Oryzias latipes: one gene and its partners. The protein of the gene in region 3 binds, or shares a complex with, the protein of the main gene of each other region. Links are inferred from orthologs where the notes say so. Each region holds a gene or a part of one and is shown on either strand. Other genes may lie near its edges. The genes, in order: ruvbl2, ASNSD1 upstream open reading frame protein and pdrg1.

Region 1 (3,753 bases), on a different chromosome or scaffold from region 3:
ATAACATCACTAAAAAGTGTGTTTAAAGACAAACAAGAAAAGCTCCATTTAGATAGGACTGAGAAAAAAACAAAACCCAAACCTTTATATTGCTTTATGAGGAGAAGATGAACTCACCCGGCTTGAACTTTCTCTTTACTGAGGCTTTCAATCATCTTGTTCCCCAAGTCATATATTGTCTCCATCTCTGTAGTCTTCAGAGTCAGCTTCCCCACCTTTGCACCCTGATTAAAGCAAACCAGCTCAACATGAGGCGAATCAGCTAAATAAATCAACGTTTTCTAAAGCTATGGTATGGAAAGACTGTTTATGAAGTGAAAGGATCTTACTGTTCCAGTGGCGGGTCTGTCAATCTGGATTTCTACCACCTCCCCTTCAATGATTTCTGTCTCCTCTCTGGATTTATGGGGGGGAAGAGAGCGGACTTAATTTCTATCCAAAAAAAACAACCTAAACCTTGTTTATATACTTACTTGATTCTCACTCCTATAGCTTTTCTAAAAGCTTGGCTCAGTGCTTCAGTTTTGCTCATTTCCAGGGAAAAGATCTCACTTCCAGCCAGAGCTGTAAAGGGGGTGTCAGGGCCCAAAGACTGAGCAATACCTGTAGATGAAAGAAAAACATGCAACAAGCCTCAAATAGCCAACAGAACTTTGCCTCAGGTGGAAACTTGTATGCATCATTTCTGGTCCCATGCTCACCCATAGCAATAGCCGTCTTCCCCGTGCCCGGCTGGCCAGCAATCAGAACGGCCCTGCCGGCGATGTGTCCGTCTTTGATCATCTCCAGGATTATCCCTGCTGCTCGACGGGAGGCCAGCTGGCCGACCATCCCCTGTGACACCTGCAGGTGAACAGGGAACTCAACTCGTTCAGCAGCAAATATGCCTCATTCGGATTTTATCCTTTGACTTAAGGGACATTTTGAATGCTTTAAACAAGCTGCTAAAAGACTTTCCTGTTGGAATCACAACATGTGGGTTTAGTGCTGACAACAGGGCTTTAGAATCAAGTCTCGCTTTGCTACTTGACTACCTCTATACTGCTTCATGTTGTTTCCACACACAACAAAACATTAAAAGGTACATTCGAAACATTTTAACCTCTCAAGTTTAACAGCAGTTTAAAAATATCCAAATATGTTTTCCTCTGTTAAGTTTTTGCCTTTTTAAAGGACATGAATTACAAAAAAAAGCCATAATTTTATCAAAACTACAAACACCTAAAACTACTGAAGTCTTGGGTCAAAACAGAGATCAACAAACAGAAGTGCTGCACGTTACCTGTCTGGGCTCCAAAGCATCGTCCAAACCAAGGCCCCGAATGTGAGAGTGGGCCCCTAACCACACAAAGATGAAACTATTACACAAAATATTACAAACATACGGGAAATCATAGCAAAAATAAATACACACAGCTCATGTAGAGATAAGGCATGTTCTAAAGTTTACCATTCAATTTAAGCTTACCATTTATTTCTAAAGTGTTGAAAATCTGCATGGGGTCTTACCTATTCTTTCAATCCGTGTAATGTCCCGAACCTCTGGCACTTTTGTAGTTGCCATCTGTAGAATAATACATCAATGACAAGAAGAAAACAAAAAAATGCAAAGAAACATTTTTAAAACAATTTGCCTCATCGTAAACAAAAGAACAAATATTTTCAGAGGAGTTTAGGCCTTCGTTGATCTTTGACTAAATCTTAAGAGCATTTTTTATTGTTTGTTTAAAAATCCTGCTTATGAAAAAGAACAGCAAGAATTCCTTATGTGTGTGTTCAAATATCGATGACACTTTTGGATGTTTATCGTTTCCAAAGAGAGTTAAAATTTGCATCCTCCATTCACCAATGTTTTAGTGTTTTCCACATAGACTTTGTCAAAGCAATATAAATGTGGAATTCCTTTTATGCTCCACTTGTCCTGTCCGTTGTCATAGTGACAGCAATGAATGACCACACACAACACAACAGCAAAGCTTAGTCAACACTCTTTGACATTTTAAAATATATATACGCATATTTGTGAAACATATCTAGGAAGGAAAGTATTAGTAAATCAGGTTTAGAAAAATTGACACTTCACTGAAATTAGTTTATTTTCTAATATGAATACGGGGGGAGAAAATCGACAGGTAACATCAGCTAACGATATTAGCAAACAAGCTAGCATCATTCACACCGTTCATAACGCAAAACAACAGCACACGCCATATTAGCCGGGTAATAAAAGCCTGCATGACACGCGGAAGTACTTAAAAATAAATTGGCTATACTACTTGGGTGAAAATATTAAAGTCCAAATTGATTTTAACATCTACTACAAACTCAGGACTCACCTCCGCAGCCACACTTAAAAAACGTGAGAAGCGCCGCTTCTTTCTCAGGGAGTACTGGTTAAATGTGTCCGACAAGAAACATGCGAAGCCGTTCAGTTCCGCTACTAGAGTTTATTGGGACTGCCCTCTATAGACTCAAATGTGAATTACAAATCTGGCGTAAAAGCCCGGATTTGTTTTTGAGATGAAAGCTACGTTTTTGTCTTGATCGTCACGATAATGATAACCTGAAAATACTTAAATACTTCGAAATTATCTTTCTGTGTGTCAAATTTACTACCTAACAAATAATGTTTTTGGCATTTTTGATACCTATAACTATTAGAACTGAAATTTTAAGCATTCAAATACAGATTAAAGATTAGAAAGAAAAATAAACTCAGGTTGCTAATAATTTAAGACCTGGATTGCAGTCATCTGAACAAAATAAAACCAAGGAATCTAAAATTGTAGTTTAAAAAAATACTTTAAACTTAAAGAAATGCATAAGAAAACGTCACATTTTAAACAACTTATCATGCTGTTACCTTGAAAAAAAGATAATTAAACCTAAAACATCACAAATATTCATATATTTATTTCCCAACAAATGTAAAAATATGATCATGCATTAAAAAACATGTACTCCCTTAATATGCACTGCTTTTATAATGTGTGCTTGAAGTCCTTATGGTAATTTTCTCTCTTTATCATGACTTATATAATCCATAGGTGATCTCCTGAACCAAAACTGGTCAGAGAAACTAAGAGGTTTCAAAAACTTTCCATTTTGACCCAAAAGAAACCCTGTTGGTTTGCAGAGGATGTGACTAAACCTGATTAGTCTGAAGAAAAGCCCAGCAGCACTGCACAGATTTTTCCACTAGAGGATGCAAGATTAATGTTGTGCAAGGATCCTCATATAGACAAAGTTATAGTAAGAGATCTACTAATAAACCAAAGTTATAGGATTGATGACAGAAGCCACATGAAACTAAATGATGCTTGTAGAGATATTTCAGTTAGAGGGAGTAAGTGTAAACAACCCCTACATAAGGTATGAAGTGTAGGAATGGGTGTTGTTTCTTATTATTTACCTTGTAAAAAAACTGCATCTCCCTTTTTTATTTGCCAAGTCTGAGGATAATCTCTTTATCCTCAGAGAAATTGTTGAAAATGTTTAGACGAAATAACTCGAAGGAGCAGACCCCTCTGAAGTGCTACAGAGGGGGTCTTAATATCCTTTCCATAAATCATCAAATTCAACCCTCAAGGCTGAAGGGTTCCAGATCATAATGTTTCATTCAGGAAACAGATGGATGCTGAAAATGACAGGTTCTTCAAGACTGAAATGAAAGAGACAAGGATGAAGCAAACTCATCGTTGTTTCATTTCAGGCGTCAGTTGTTGGGTGTGGCAAACAAGTTCAGCAGCACCC
Region 2 (3,407 bases), on a different chromosome or scaffold from region 3:
AATCAATGCCTCCTGAAAAGAGTATAGCAATGCTAGCCTGGCCACTGCTAAGAGGTAAATTATCTTTTGCCACAAAAGGCAACGAATGAACTCGTCGCCTCACCGCCTCACTCAGGACACCAATTAGACGGTTCACAACTTCAGTTTTCTCCTTGCTGATTAGAAACTCCTCTAGATTTCCTCCAGACACCTGTGAACTGGGATTAACTTCAACCTTTTTTTCTGGAATGGACATATTCAAAGGACAAACAGGTGAAGTGATTGATAAACCTGCTCGATTTATCTCAAAATTGCACCCACTAGGGACAGAGTTAACCATCATTTCACTCAATGATGGGTTTATGACATTTCTTGCCCAGGGAAAAAGCTCAAAGGACACAGAACCACTCTGTGCAGCTGCCTTTACATCAACCTTAAACACGCCAACAGCTGGGACTTCTTTCCAATCAGACTGACCCAGCGCAGAAATCCCAGCTGCCACTGAGGTCAAAGTGAAGACACTGATCTCGGCGTCATATTTCCACAGCAAGCTGCGCCTTCCAAAAAGGTCTCTCCCAAACCAGAGATAATCTTCAGCCTTTTGATAGAAAACAAATGCCCAAGGCCCTTGAATGGCAGACAGAAGTGCCAGAACCTCCAAAGAGTTTTTACAAGATGACAATTTCTGACAGATGACAGTGGTGTCATTCTCTTCTGGCATCACAGAAATCCCTCCAAAAACCTCTCCATTCCACATCAAGACATTTCCAGCGTCGTCTTGAAACGGCTGAAGAGTAAGGAGGCCTCTCATATGGAGAACATGGGCAGAAAATGAGCAGTGATAGCTCAAATCTACAGCAGGAAACGATAGCTCCCTGCTAGAGTTGGGGCCCCTTCTCTTCAGAAATTCATAAATTCTTTTGTCCTTCTCAAATTGAGCAGCTGACAAAGTCAACTGGAAAAAGATTCCACACATTGTTGCAGCTCTAAATATCCTGCAGTTCTTTTTTCAAGTAATCCAGTTCCTCTGCAAGAATAAAAATAAAAAAAGTTTTAAAAAAAAAAAGGTGAGTTATATTGTAGTATGGTACAACATTGTAAAAATTTCAATGCAAGAGGATAAATGAATACTAACACATACTTCTGCTTGTAGACAATGTTTGACTTCTGTCAGCCAGGAAGAAAATGTTGCTGTTTCTCTGTTGGATGTAAACTTTCTGAAGAAAAGAAAAAAAAAATCAATAAAAAATGAATTTATTACGACGGATGGATGGATTTATGGATGGATGGATGTAAAAAGGTAATTACCGTACCCTGTTCTTCTTTAGGTTAGAGAGTTCATCCACAACGACCTTTTGCTCTTTGATCTGGAAATTAGCAACAAGTTAACGTTAACAACCCTATGATGATGAAGCCATCAGGAGATGTATCCCATCATGTTAAGTTTTAATTTAAAGATCAGCAGTCCTTCATTTTTCCAGCAAACATGAGAAAATCGAAACTTATTAAAACAGTAAATACATACTATTGGTGCGTAAATACTAACAAAAGTATTGCTATTCGTTTTTCCGTTCTACTATACATGCTGAAAAAGGTGAATAAACATATCCGTGTTGTTTAGCCAGCTAACAGTAGCGCGTCTTTGATATAAAGTTACCTTTTTACTGAGTTCCTCTTTATATGTGGTTTGCTCTTGGGAATTATCGCTGTTATTGTATTTTTTTGAAGACATTTTCATAAAGGAGCCACGAGGGAAAACTTTTTATCTAATTTTTCTCTTAACAGCGTCTACTTCTGCGACAAACATGTCCGGATATGCGTCATAACCGTTCCGGGTGAAGAAATAGGTGGGGAGTTCGAAGCACACTGCCGCCTAGAGGCCAGATTTGTAAAACACCCGCTACACATCTCAGGGTCCGGGGCCTGCCAAATTATAGGTAACCAAGGGGTAAACACAGATTGAATAAGAATGTCTTTAAATAACAGATTTGATGTAATTTACTTTCTTAAGACTAAAAAAATAGTATTGGGCTACTACAAAAAAGTTTTTTAAACGGAATTGGGTTAAAATTTAATCAGCTAAGCAAGTTCGAGACAGAAGAAGTTAGACTTTTCTGTTTCTACCCGGTTTTAATTTTCATTTAAAGTGACACTTCCATATAAGAAAAAAGCAACAAAAAGAAACACTGATTAAATAAAATCAATTAAGCATAAATTAAATAATGAATCCATTGCACATCTGATATGTTGATCATTTTTGATCAGTTTTCAAAACCACCTGAAGCTATTAAGTAGTCTTTAAAAACACCCAATTAACTGTCTGTGTCTTGTTCCTTTTTTTCTTTTCCTTTTTTTTCTGACATCAGAGCCTCTGAAAGCTGCACCTTTGTTAACCCTACCCTTTACTTTAACCCCAGAAACACTTCTTAAAATATTGCTTTTGGGGGGAAATACACCTCCAGCCAATTGTTGCTAGGCTGGAACAGTATCTCTAGTTAAAAAAGTATTTTTTCATTGTTTACTTGTAAAACTAAACTAAAGTAGTGGCTGAAGACAAACCAACCTGCCTTGTCTTAAGATAATTTAGCTTTTTTATATTTTAGTTATAATATGACATGCTTTCATCTGCTGATGTTGAATCATCAAATTAAAAATAACACATGCAAGTGCATTTTTTCGGGGACTAAAGCTTTTTGTTGACTTGATCTGTCTGTAGACGAACAGATGCTTAACCCCCTTTAAAAGCAGTTTCAACCTAACCCCCACCTCCCTGCTCAAAGATCACACAACCAAAAAAAAATGAATGTTGAAATACCTGCTGAACTCTGCAGCTTATTTCAACCTTGTCTTTGCCTTTTTTCTTTTGAAGTCTCTCAGCATTTAAATAGCTTTTGCATACCTCATAGTTGTTTTGTTTTTTTTACTCTTCAGTTTGAGTCAAAACTGTGCCATGAAGCTCCTAAGATGGAGAGAAAGCTAAAATAGTATTTTTCCTTATTTATGCTGCTGGTGATCTATTATTATTGAAAAAAATAAAGTTTGCAGTTGTTGGTAGAGATCAACAGATGACACGAATGTGATTGATTTTTCTTCAGCAGTGGGTCAAACACCTTTTCAGTGCAAACACAACTGTTTCTAGGCAAACACACCTGTGTAAAGTTCTACATTGGTCTTAAACTGAATTGATTTAAAACAGTTTTCAACTGTTGGCTATTTCTTGTAGCATTTTGGACACAGTGAGCATGTCAAAAAGTGACCTTTGGTATTTATTTTTCTTTGGTGGAGTTGGCAGGCTCAGGGTCTTAGAGGTCTGAGGTACTGAGAGATATTCCCAGAAACAATAAGACCACAACAATATCATCCTTCTAAAATGGGTAAAGGTAATTATTATCATTGTTTCTGATGTTCCCAGTCACTTTGATGGTTAT
Region 3 (3,753 bases):
TGTGGTTATTTTTGTTTAGTTAAGCAATTAGATGTACTTGATAATAAATTCTTTTATTTCTTTTAAAAGATTATTTACACAAAAACTTCAGAGTCAGAGGAACATGGACATCCAAACATCTCCTTTAAAGAGAGTTTGGAAAGTGGACTTTGACCAGTCAGTACAGCCATCTTTAACTACTACAATTCTAGAAGATGTTTAATATAGATTCTGCTGCTGTCTACTAAAGGAAACAACTTTAAAACTGTAAATATAATAGATATGAACTTTATTAAAACAGTCCAGGAACCGGGTGCAAAAAAGGACATGTTTGTCATCTTTTGAACCTGCAGAAGTGTCCTGCACGAATCCCCGACAGTCCAACCGTCCAGCCAAGGTGCCTTTAATAAGCATGTTTAAATGATGTTTAAATGTGGCGCTGGAACTCAGGCCTGCAGCTTTGGCGCTTCATTCTCTCAGAAGTGACTCGAAACAGCCGGAGAATCAGGTCTTCAGGAGGCTGTTGATAGATTTGATCTCCTCAGAGGACAGTGCAGACAGTCTGTAGCCTCTGAGCTCCGGTTTACCTACAGAAATGAAGGGAATAGTTTTAGCTATTCAATAATAAAAGTTTAATTGATGAAACTTACTTTGACTTCTGAATGTTTGAATGAAGCGTCAGGGCATCTTTTCCACTAGTTGCTGTTGTTATGAGACAGTTTTACCCCTCCTGGTGCAAACATTTTACGGTACTTTATTTTAATTTGTTTGTATTTTACTAAAGAAAATGATAGCTCTAGAGACGCACTAATGATTAAAAAAAATGTTTGTAGTGACCTGGACACAGAGTAAAGGCTCCTGAACTGAGTGTCTAGAAGAGTGCATGTGCAGATCAGATCAGTCTGTAGGTGTGAGCAGGTGGAAAACATCTGTAGACTAACATTTCGCCTGCTTTTGAGTGTGCTGCCCCCTTGTGGCATTGGAACCTTACAGCAGCTCAGTCAGAGAAAATGCAAAGAAATCTGTAAACAAAGATATATTATGAGGTCTGCTGTTGTCTTGGTGTTTCCACTCTTAGCTTGCAGTATTTATTTGTGTCACCTTAGGACTCCGCAGTTACGCAACTGGCTTCAACCGGAACGACCGACAAGTACGTTGTGTAACTGAACTCTACAGAAACAGTGCAAAGCCCCAAATGAACGCTGTTAATTAATTTGTCTTGATATTTCACATTTTCACAAATGTCAGTTTAACATTTTGGAATTAGGAACCTATTTTAGCTTATTAACTTTTCTTGAGTTTTGTGAGTTTTCAACTTGTCAAAAGTAACATCCTCTGTTCCAAATGGCTACCAGTGTTTTACAGCACTTCTTTTCTTCCCAAAACCCCTTTATGTTCATCCAAAAGAGAAATGCAACACCTCTTCTCCTTCCAACAGGAGGGCAGGACCAGAGGGAGGAATCACGTTTCCCCTTCTGCTACACAGCCTGTAAAGCGTTTTATTAAAATTGTCAGCTTTAATTTTTCCTTTTTTGTTTTCTTATTTTGAAAGAGTTGCATACCTTGAATCTCATTGAGATGATTGAATTTAGTTTTCAGTTCTCTGCGAAGGTTATTTATTTCTTTATCCAGCTGTTCTTGGTCTGCAGCACAAAAGAAATACATTTTTATTTTTATGAATAAACACATAAAGCATGGAAGTGTGTTTTCTTTAAGGATTACCTTTCTGGACCATCCCTTTAGTTTTGGATTTGTCAAACTCAATAAACATGTTTCCAAAGCAAACCTTCACATTCTCTGCAAACAAAAACAAGAACATTAAGGCTGGAAAAGGCTGGGTTTGTTATTTAACAGCAGCACTTCTGACATATTTCATAAATGCAGCGATCAGGTTTTCCTTTCTTGCCTCTAAACATGACGGGACCCGGTCCTGCCTCACCTGAATCAGACAGCTCATGTTTGAGAGCGTTCAGCGCCTCCCTGTTCCGGTTTCTCTTCAAGTCCAGGTCCACTATCTGAAGAAAAGAAAAAAAAAAGAAAGACACATGAATTCATATTTACCTAATTTAGTATCCAATTTTTGGTTATTAAATGAAGAAAATGGGTCAAAGTAAGACCCTGGCTGGTGACAGCCAAAAAGAATATAAAGTGAACTAAACTAACAAAGACAGAGTGTCCATTTATGTCACAGATATTATGATCAAAATTTATAGTAGATTTTATGTTAAAAGAGAAATTGTCCGTGTTTGCTGCACTAGCTGCTAAAATATCCACTTGTAGTTTATAGAAAATTTCATTTGCAAATAAATTTCTTATAAAATCTTTAAAATGTCAAATAGAGCCAGATTGAAAGCAGAACTTTTGAATTTCTGTCTTTCTTCAAGAGTGGTATCAAGCTAATCTTTATCTAATTTCTTTTCAACTTTATTACGTTTAAGTAGAGGAAAACACTTCTTTTTTTGTTTACATCTCTGTGAGTGGAATTTCCCCAAACAGATCATCAATACAAAAAATATTTTGTTGGACACGCCATCTAATTCATAGTATAACATGACATAAAATATTATTTTAGGATATTTTTTACTCAATTTTGTGAACAGAAATTTCGATCCATCATGATCATCATCCAGGCAGCCCAACTTGAACTTCAGTATCACTTGTTTTTAAGCTAGTGAAGCGGTTCGGTGACCTCTTTGCTAGCTGAAGCTATCTATGTTAAACATGACTTTTGAAAAAAGAAACGATTTGCGGTTCGTCACAACATACCTGCTGTTTGGTTGTGATAACCTCCTCGGCTGCTTCTTCCACTTCTGTCAGGTAGTCCAGCACACGCTGCGAACCCGCATCCATGTTGGCGGTGTCGCATCTAAATATGTTCTACGAGAAACACAAGAGAAGGCGGAACGCTTCATCTTCTGCATTTTCTTGGCGGTAGGCAAACAGCTTGCTGGTCGTTACCGCCGCCAACTGGAGTGGAGTGTAAACCGGGATCTTTTCTTAACTTTCACGTTCTTACTTACATTCGAGTGGAATCTTCTCAAAAAATGAATTCAATCTTAATTTGCAAAAATTTCATAAATAAAAAAAAGCGCACATCGACCATTGCCTAAATTTACAGATACCTCAAACTTCATGTTCAACATTTCAAGGTTGTTTAAATTTGGATTTTTTTTTTTTAGTTTAAAAAAAATGTATTCATGTTTTAAAAACGTTCGAGTCTTACGTCTCAATCTAGTTATTGCTCTTTTCCTATCCTATGTTGTCCCGCTCTCATCATTTTCCCCTCTATTATTCCTTTGTTCCTTCTCCCAGTGTCTTCGTCATATTTCTTTCTCTCTTTGATTATGTTTTTATCTCTGCTTTGCTAAGACTGATCTTTAACTCAAAATCCTTTATTGGAAACTATTCAAGCACATTTAGTGGCTATTTCATCATCTTGTTTCTCTATATGAGCTGAACCCAGAAAATATCACAATGACCCGCATTGTTTTTAGTAACCCCCAATGTTTGCTGGAAATATCTGGTCTACTTTCTTATTTACAGTTTTTAATATTTGCTAATGATGAACTTAAGTCTGAACCATCTGAACATATAAGATTTCCCATTGGCCTATGACAAGCAGAATATTTCTGATGCCCATACAAACATTTGATTTCACTGCTTTTTTGGAAACTGAGGAGGCGAAATGAATAAACAGCTGTGTTTTATGCTGCGTATAGTATAAATGTTATCCAAATGTACATGAAAAGAGAGTTTACATTTTTTTGTCTCAGT

The links.
Region 1: pdrg1 (region 3) and ruvbl2 share a complex: the UniProt entries of both Homo sapiens proteins name them as parts of the PAQosome complex. The link is inferred for Oryzias latipes from reciprocal best matches to the Homo sapiens genes PDRG1 and RUVBL2.
Region 2: pdrg1 (region 3) and ASNSD1 upstream open reading frame protein share a complex: the UniProt entries of both Homo sapiens proteins name them as parts of the PAQosome complex. The link is inferred for Oryzias latipes from reciprocal best matches to the Homo sapiens genes PDRG1 and ASDURF.

What each region holds. Positions count from the first base shown.
Region 1 is NC_019872.2:21,691,186-21,694,938, forward strand, and holds the start of ruvbl2 (ruvB-like 2), read right to left. Parts: upstream 2,447-3,753; 5' UTR 2,337-2,446; intron 1,565-2,336; coding exon 1,510-1,564; intron 1,339-1,509; coding exon 1,283-1,338; intron 844-1,282; coding exon 702-843; intron 604-701; coding exon 474-603; intron 397-473; coding exon 330-396; intron 225-329; coding exon 118-224; intron 10-117; coding exon 1-9. UniProt on the Homo sapiens protein: Possesses single-stranded DNA-stimulated ATPase and ATP-dependent DNA helicase (5' to 3') activity; hexamerization is thought to be critical for ATP hydrolysis and adjacent subunits in the ring-like structure contribute to the ATPase activity.
Region 2 is NC_019879.2:16,672,058-16,675,464, reverse strand, and holds ASNSD1 upstream open reading frame protein, read right to left. Parts: upstream 1,797-3,407; 5' UTR 1,718-1,796; coding exon 1,637-1,717; intron 1,347-1,636; coding exon 1,293-1,346; intron 1,197-1,292; coding exon 1,121-1,196; intron 1,007-1,120; coding exon 966-1,006; 3' UTR 956-965; downstream 1-955. Other genes in the region: asnsd1 (asparagine synthetase domain-containing protein 1), read right to left, coding at 1-955.
Region 3 is NC_019863.2:18,202,452-18,206,204, forward strand, and holds pdrg1 (p53 and DNA damage-regulated protein 1), read right to left. Parts: upstream 2,874-3,753; 5' UTR 2,830-2,873; coding exon 2,746-2,829; intron 1,995-2,745; coding exon 1,919-1,994; intron 1,777-1,918; coding exon 1,702-1,776; intron 1,623-1,701; coding exon 1,542-1,622; intron 1,467-1,541; coding exon of another isoform or gene 1,441-1,466; exon of another isoform or gene 1,400-1,440; intron 567-1,399; coding exon 484-566; 3' UTR 35-483; downstream 1-34. UniProt on the Homo sapiens protein: May play a role in chaperone-mediated protein folding.